Drosophila melanogaster: one gene and its partner. The gene in region 2 interacts genetically with the main gene of each other region. Each region holds a gene or a part of one and is shown on either strand. Other genes may lie near its edges. The genes, in order: Cdk9 and E(spl)mgamma-HLH.

Region 1 (4,388 bases), on a different chromosome or scaffold from region 2:
AGAGATCCCGTGACTTCGGAGGTTCTGCCATCCTCGCCAATGGCCCTCAACAGCGTTGACTCCTCCTCTTCGGTGACAAAGTCAGCAATTATGTGAAGGCCTCTGGGAAGAGGCTTGTTCCACTCACTTTTTCCCGCAAGTGCCGGTAGTTGCCTTATATAGCTAAGGTAGGCTACAGCTCCCTGTTGTCCAATGGTCGATATATTGTGCATTCCCTCATAGATGAGCTGGGAGTCTTCCAAGCTGGCACAAATAAAAAAACAGTACGATTTGCCCGGCAACATGACCACTTGGATGACTTTTCCACCGGTCGCGGCAGCCTCCGTGAGCAAACACTCCTCCGTGAGTCCATTGCTGAGTCCCACGTTGAGAACCGCCAGGTAAGGGGTGGGTTCAGCGCTTGGAGACACCTCGCAGTCACTTTTGATGATTGCCAGACATCTTCGCTGCTTTTTATCCGCCTTTTTGGCCTTGTTTACCTTTTGCTGTGTTTCCTCAACGTGCATCTCGCGGCCAGTGTGTACACCCCTTTTCAATGTTTTTCTTTTTGTTCTAATACTTAAGTCGATTGTGAATACCCTTTCTTGCAACTTCAAGTAATTGTAGAAACTTTGAATAAAGAATAATAAGAAGCAGAGAAACATAATGTAGGTATATTTGGAGCAAGCGCTAATGCAAATGCCAATATTTTTATTGTACACTAACCTAATAACCTAACGCTAGTTGAAGGTGAGAAACTATTAGTCGGGTGCGTACACCTCTGGCAGTCTACCAAACCCGGTCAATCATACTGTTGTCCTGGGGCTTCTGGTTCATGGTGGTCAGTTGCTGGTGATAGTTGCGCATCTGGTTGCTGCGGCGTGGCTGCGCCAGGTACTCGAACATGCTCTGCAGGTGCTGGGACAGCATCTTGCTCAAGTCGCTGGGCATGGGATCCGTCCAGAAGAAGTCGTGATTCAGAGCTGTGTCCGCATCGATGCGTTTCTTGGGATCAAGGGTCAGCAATTTGTCCAATAGATCACAGCCGGTTTGATCCTTGACATACGGACGCAGGCGCTCCTTGACTCGACGCTTCTGGTTCTTTGGCAGCTCGATGGATTTGTACAGCTCCAGCTCCTCCACTCCCGGCCACACGTCCGGCGTAAAGGAGCCGCATAGCTGCGAGATAAAGGTTAGCTGCTGCTGCTCCGTATTGCCTTGCATGATGGGCGAGCGTGTCCACATCTCGGCCATTATGCAGCCGGCTCCCCACATGTCCACGGGTGGACCATAGTTGCGGTCACCAAGTAGCAGCTCAGGCGGCCGGTACCACAAGGTTACTACGCGATTGGTATAGCGATTCTTACTCTCGTTCTTTGGAATGCTAAAAGCACGGGCCAAGCCAAAGTCAGCCAGCTTTAAGATGCCATGCTTGGTAATCAGCACGTTGGCAGCTTTCATGTCTCGGTGCAGGATCTAGTAATGCAAATGAAAACAGATACATACAATGTAAAACCAAAACTTTGCTTAATGACATGACTCACCTTGTTGCTGTGGATGTAATACAAACCGTTTAAAAGCTGCTGCATAACCTTCTTAATCTCGCCCAGACTGAACTTGACGTTCATGTTGGACAGAAGACCTGCCAAATCGTGTTCGCAGAAATCAAAGACCAAATAGAAGGTGGATCTGTAACCATTCGTGGCGGTGGCCTTGGTGCGGCAGATCTCGATCAGATTCACCACGTTCTCGTGCTTTAGCAGCTGCAGGATGCGGATCTCTCGCAGAGCCGTGATGGGAAACTAGGGGAGCACATATATAAATAAGGAATTCGTCTCTTAAGATGTTGCTTTTCACGCACGCCCTCCTTTTCGTTGTCCATCAGCACCTTCTTCATGGCCACAAACTTCTTGTTGCCCTTTTTCTCGCGAGCCTTAAAAACCTCTCTGTAATCAAAGGGGTCGTATGTTTTAGTTTAAAGTTAGTTTTCACCAATTTGGAGACTTACCCGAAGGTGCCTTGGCCAATTTTCGCCACCTTTTCGTATTTGTTGCTCTCGTCGCAGTAGGGAAAGTCGTAGTCCTCGATGTACTTTTGTTTCTCCATCAGGGACATCGTGCGCGATGAGCTGGAGCCCACGTTGGAGGGCGTCGACCCCGAAGGCTGCTGGAGCATGTGGGACATGTGCGCCATGGTTAAATTTGCCTCTATTTGTACAATTTTCACAATCACAGTTTCGCGAGAAGCCGACAGTCGAAAAGAAAGAAATCGGCAACAATTGGTGTTTCTACAGCTGTTGACTAAAGAAATACCGGTGTGCACACACTGTCAAGGCCTATCGATAAGAAATCGATGGGTCAAACAGCTGGGTAGTAATAACTTTTCGATTGTTGGTATACACTGGCCAAGTGATATAACCTAGCCAAAATTTGTCCAACAAATAAAAGCCGAATTAATGAATAAACTGTTGAATATAGCCCAGGCAGGGCATCGGCAGTTTGTCCGGGAATATGCATTCAAGTCGGACCTGAAAATCAAATGGATGCGCCCCGAGAAGATCGCGTGCTATAAGCCCGAAAAGAGCGGCGATTTAGCCAAGCTGCCTCCTCTGAAAGCCGACGAACTGCTGCCGGAATACAGGGACTGCAAGGAGTTGGATAAGTATGTTGCAGTATTCTCTCAATATAATAGTTTATTTACATCATCTCACCATTTTGTAGAGCCGACGAGTCAGTTAAATCCTTGTTCAAACTGAGCAACAACGCTAGTTACCTGACCACAAAATTCTATCGCGATGAGATGGTCAAGGAGGTGCAAAGACATGCCCAGGATTTCGGCTCAATGGAGGCCAAATGTATGTATCTTTGCAAAGTGCACATATAGCAGTTCCCCCCAAATTTGCCCTTCTTTTAGTGGCAAAAATGACTGCAGTTATCCGCCGCTACCAGGAGCACATGGACAAGCATCCGCGCGACAAGATGATCAAGGTGCGTCTCAAGGAGCTCATCGACAAACGCAAGAAGTTCCTCAAGTACTTGAGACGTTGGGATTATCCCCGCTTCGAGTGGATTCTCGAGAAACTCGACCTGGTGTACAAGCCACCGCCCACACATTTCCACTGGATCACCCGCAAGGAATCCCTCCAAAAGTTGACCGACATATACTGCGAAAACCTAAAGGAAGAGCGGCTAGAGGCTTACCATAAGCAGCTGCAGGCCCAGCAAATACCCTTCCTTGAGGAGGCCATCAAGAAGATGCAGTTCGTGCGGCAGGAACAGATTTCCTGCGATGTCCCCGTGACCGTGACAGAAGAGAAGATCGCCGACTCAAAAAGGCAGCTGGAAATGCTGAAGGAGCTGCAGCAGGCGGAGGCAGCCGCCAGCAGCAAGAAACAAAACGAGGATGGCTTCAATTAGGCCCGATTCTTTAATGTTACGGTGTCTTACAATAAATGTAAATGCTGGTTTTCTTAAATTATATGTTTTATTATACTTTAAGAGTTAGGCTGGACATCGTACCCTATGTCATGATCATCTGAGCGCATACTGGCAAATAAATAAGAAGGCAAGCATGATTGCCTTAGAAAAATGTGTAAAAACAGACGCAATTAAAGAGAAGTTCCTAAAGGGTACGGTTGCAGCTAACGTCTGCCCGACGAGGAGGTTTTCCGCCTGCCGCCGCTGCTGGAGCTACTCGAGCTGCTCGACGAAGAGTCGCTGGAGCTGGACGAACTGGACGACGACGAGGAGGACACGGAAGAGGTAGAGTCGCGTGAGGTACGCTTGCGCTCCTTGTCGCCATTGCCAGTGCCCTCTTTGCTCTTGACATCCGTGGAAGTGACTTCTTCGTCGCCCCAGAGATCGTACTTTGATAGATCCTCGTCGTCTCCCTCGTCGTCGTCCTCATCTTCTTCCTCATCATTCCGCTGCTCATCTCGGCTAGACCTTCTGGGCCTCTTTGAGTCCTCTCTATGCTCGCCGTGCTTTCGCTTCTTGCGACGACCGAACTCATCGTACTCGCTATCCGAATCCTGACGATCCTTGTACTCTACCACGCCGCGATCATTGTATCCACCGCCAAAGCCTTTAAAGAAACTGGTTAAGTGGGTTTTGAAGCAGATCAGGCTTCTACGGACTCACCAGTCCGCTCCTCCACATCCGAGAACTTAGGAGCGTTGCACATATTGCAGGTTTGGCGACGGGCCCAGTTCACATTCGCGCATTTGCTGCACTGCCAGTCCTCGGCGCTGAACAAGCCCCGCGACTTGTCGGCCGCCGCCTTGCCGATCTCGGTGCCCAGCTTTTTCTTGCTTGAGCTGCTGCTACTGCTGCTGCTCCCGTTGCCGCGTTCCCGCTCCCGGTCTCGATCCCTGTCGCGCTCCGGCTTATCACTGCCATCGCGGTCCCGGT
Region 2 (3,336 bases):
GGAGAATCACGGCAACAAAAAATTGAGGAGAACAAAGCGAAATCAGGACGGATGCGGGATGAATGATGACTCGATCCCTTTTTTGGTTTTCGGTTTTTTTTTCGGGTTCCTTGCCGGCTCTATGCCCATTTGTTTTCTTCTAAGTCTGAGCGACATTGTCGTAACTCGATTAGATACGCTCAAAGATAAGACTCTAATATTTTCTGTTACCTTCGCTTATTGTCCGCACACGTGTTGGAGTTGCAACCACCAACTGGCCTATAGGCTATGTCCCGGTATCGGTAGCCCCGGCTTTGGACTTTGGACTTCTTTCTTCTCTCGTTCTTCTGCCTAATTCTTCTTGTTTCGGCCTTGGCATTGTTTTCGCTTTCTTTTGTCCGACGATCGTGTATGTGCATCCGTGGGGCGATCGAATAGTTACAGGGGACAGAGAGAGGTGCTATTGCGTTTCTAGCGTTTCCGTTCTAGACCGCAGACAATTGGAAACTGTCTGGACATGGGAGTGTCTGAGCAATTTGCATGTGAGTCACTAGATAGTGGCAGAAAAAGTCGTGATCTTTCAATTTTAGCTATATAATTTATTATTTATTTAGTTATCACATGAACTGCGCGTCCTCATCTAAAGCTTTGTGTGTTTATGGTGTTTACTTATAACTAGGTGGGAGTCGACTGGTGGAAATCCAGTGACTCGGAAGACTTTTACTTTCTATGATCTCTCCTTCGTTTTTTTTTTTTTCAGTTGTGGTGTGAAGTAATCCTATCTACCAGGGACGCCAGACGTTCTCCTCGTCCTCGCTGTCGTCCTCCATCTTGGTCACATCGATGGTGGTCAACAGGGAATGGCTGGTCGAACTGGTATTGGAGTTGGGACTGCCGGCGTAGCTGGAGATTGGCGAAATGGGCACGGAGTAGGCATCCCGATTGGCGATGTGCACGGAGAGTGGAGCGGTCACCGGCAAGACTTCCTTTTCTGCTGGCTGGATCTGATTGAGGCGCTGTCCCAGGTGGGTCATTAGCTGAGTGCCTAGGCTGACATTCATGCCGGGCAGCTGGGAGAGTGAACGGGAGACCTCATTGACGGCATGGATGTAGCCGGAACGGAAGCCCTCCGCCGGAGTCAAGCTCTCATCGCCGGAAGCCCGCTTGTGCTGACGCTGCTGCTTCATCTTTTGCAAATGGGTGACGGTAAGTTCCAGGATATCGGCTTTCTCCAAACGGGTGACGTGCTCGCCCTCGGACTCCAAGGTGGCAACCATAAGATCCTTTAGCTCGTCCAGGCACTTGTTGATTCTGGCACGACGCTTCCTCTCCAGCATGGGCTTCATCACCTTGCGGTACTGATAGGTCTTGGACATCTCGGACATTTGTAGCGACGACATTTTGTGTGTTTCTTATTGTTCTTTTTGTAGTTTCGATGTAAGCTGAGTTCTTTGAGCTCTTGCTGCTCCGACAGTCGAAGTCGTTGTGTGTTGCTAGACCTTCGGTGATCGGCCTTATATAGCTGGCCAGAAACAACCCCCAAAAAATGGGCCAAAGGGATCGTCGTCGTCGTCGTGTGTGCTGGCATTCGAGGAGCAAAAGGGACGGGGACACGCTTCGTGTGCTGGCATGAGGGTTGCTCGGTACCGACCCTTCCGCTTCTTGAGACCGCTCCTTATTGTTCGGGCGATTTCTTATTGTTGGCCCCGGCACCCTTATCAAACGGGCCAGGGAGCAGGATCGCTGCCAGGATCGTGGGAAACACTTTCCTACTCGGTTTCTCACATCGACTCGCTCACCTGCCCGCAAAAAGCAGCCGAGCATGGCCACGGCCATGGGCATGGGAATTTGCAGAGCGAACAGCTGCCGTTTCTAGATTTGTGTGTTATGATTTGACTATGGCATGGCAGGGTGAGGGGCATAAGGATAATGAACTGCTTGCATTATGCCATCTCATCGGGGTCCTCCGGGGTTCCCACGATAGCGGGGACCTCCGCCGGGGGATGGGGATAAGGATAAGGACGAGGCGTTGCGATTCCTCGACAACTTCCTGTTTACCGTTGGCATTCCAAATTGGATCGGGTTCGTGTTTGGTGGCAGAGGAAGGGACAAGGACAGAGGCATCCTGCACTTGTTGGTCGGCTGTTATGATCCTGTGGGAACATTGCTCGTGTGCGTCGAGTGCGCTTAATGCGTGTACGACTTCCCGATCCCCCCGACCCGGCAGGACCTCTGCCTCTCCCTCCATCCGCCATGTAAAAGGGGCCAGCGATGCTGATCCTGGAGCGCTGCTCGCGTGTGGCTCGCTGTGGACACACTTTCGGCTGTAAGTTGCTCGCGTTCCAGGACCTTTGTAATGGATGGATGGTTGGATGGGTGGTGCATTACAGGGATTTGTAAACGGAGTGGGGAGAGTTCAATTGACTTGAATTCAAGTGGACAGTATAACGGTATTTGGTATTTAGAATTATAAATTATTAAAATTCCAAGGAAAATATATATTTTCTATATATTTCAAATTAGATTTTAGAAATATATTTAAATATATCTGATATATCTTTTATATCGAAGAAAGCTAAATAAGAGCTTATAAATTATAATTATAATATAATAATTATATATATTATAACATTTTGTACCTATGTACCTATGGATTATAGCAACCTTGTTTATGTTCATATTCCAAATAATATAAAGCTTTTAAAATTTCAGTTTACGTTCATTTTATTATTCAAATGTTCATGGCTTATACTTAATGGTGTAAAGCGAAAAATATAATTTTAAAACATACACAAAAATTTGTTCTTAATGAGGCTAAGTGGAAGCTCGGTGGGGAAGCTCTTGCAAAGTTGATGAAATAAATTACAATGAATTAAATACATGAATCAGTAAGCCTATGGGAGATCAAATACAAAATACGAACTTAAGAACTATCACAGGAACATCACATCATATCAAATCAACTACCAACTAAATACGATTCTGAGGCAAATGTTTACACTAGACCTTGGAAAACTTGGATTGTTTCTTAATGAAACTGAGTAGTAAAGCTATCAATGTTAATTGGTTGCGTATATATGGAATGCCCTTCACCAGGGGCGCCAGACTTCTTCGCCATGATGAATATCCTCTTCTCGCGGAGACTTTGAACGTTTTTGGTCGGCTAGATTAACTGGTTCTTCGGCCATATCGATGATTTCTTCTTCCTGTTTCATGTCCTTGAGCTGGTGACCCAATTGCTTCATCAGGTGGGTGCCGAATTTGAGATCCAAGCCGGGAACCGTAGAGAATATGTGCGAGACCTCGTAGGCAGCCTGGGTGTATCCGGCCCGAAATTTGTCCAGGTTAACTTGGTCG

The links.
Region 1: of E(spl)mgamma-HLH (region 2) and Cdk9, changing one suppresses a phenotype caused by changing the other (phenotypic suppression), as found in Drosophila melanogaster (one study listed by BioGRID).

Annotation. Positions count from the first base shown.
Region 1 is NT_033778.4:22,635,419-22,639,806, forward strand, and holds Cdk9 (Cyclin-dependent kinase 9), read right to left. Parts: upstream 2,310-4,388; 5' UTR 2,173-2,309; coding exon 1,988-2,172; intron 1,926-1,987; coding exon 1,841-1,925; intron 1,782-1,840; coding exon 1,524-1,781; intron 1,456-1,523; coding exon 769-1,455; 3' UTR 645-768; downstream 1-644. Other genes in the region: CG17807 (uncharacterized protein), read right to left, coding at 1-506; bonsai, read left to right, coding at 2,435-2,640, 2,700-2,833, 2,893-3,395; CG3732 (uncharacterized protein), read right to left, coding at 3,620-4,062, 4,119-4,388.
Region 2 is NT_033777.3:25,997,986-26,001,321, reverse strand, and holds E(spl)mgamma-HLH (enhancer of split mgamma, helix-loop-helix), read right to left. Parts: upstream 1,472-3,336; 5' UTR 1,380-1,471; coding exon 762-1,379; 3' UTR 561-761; downstream 1-560. Other genes in the region: E(spl)mdelta-HLH (enhancer of split mdelta, helix-loop-helix), read right to left, coding at 3,069-3,336. UniProt on the Drosophila melanogaster protein: Transcriptional repressor of genes that require a bHLH protein for their transcription. May serve as a transcriptional regulator of the Achaete-scute complex (AS-C) genes. Contributes to the neural-epidermal lineage decision during early neurogenesis.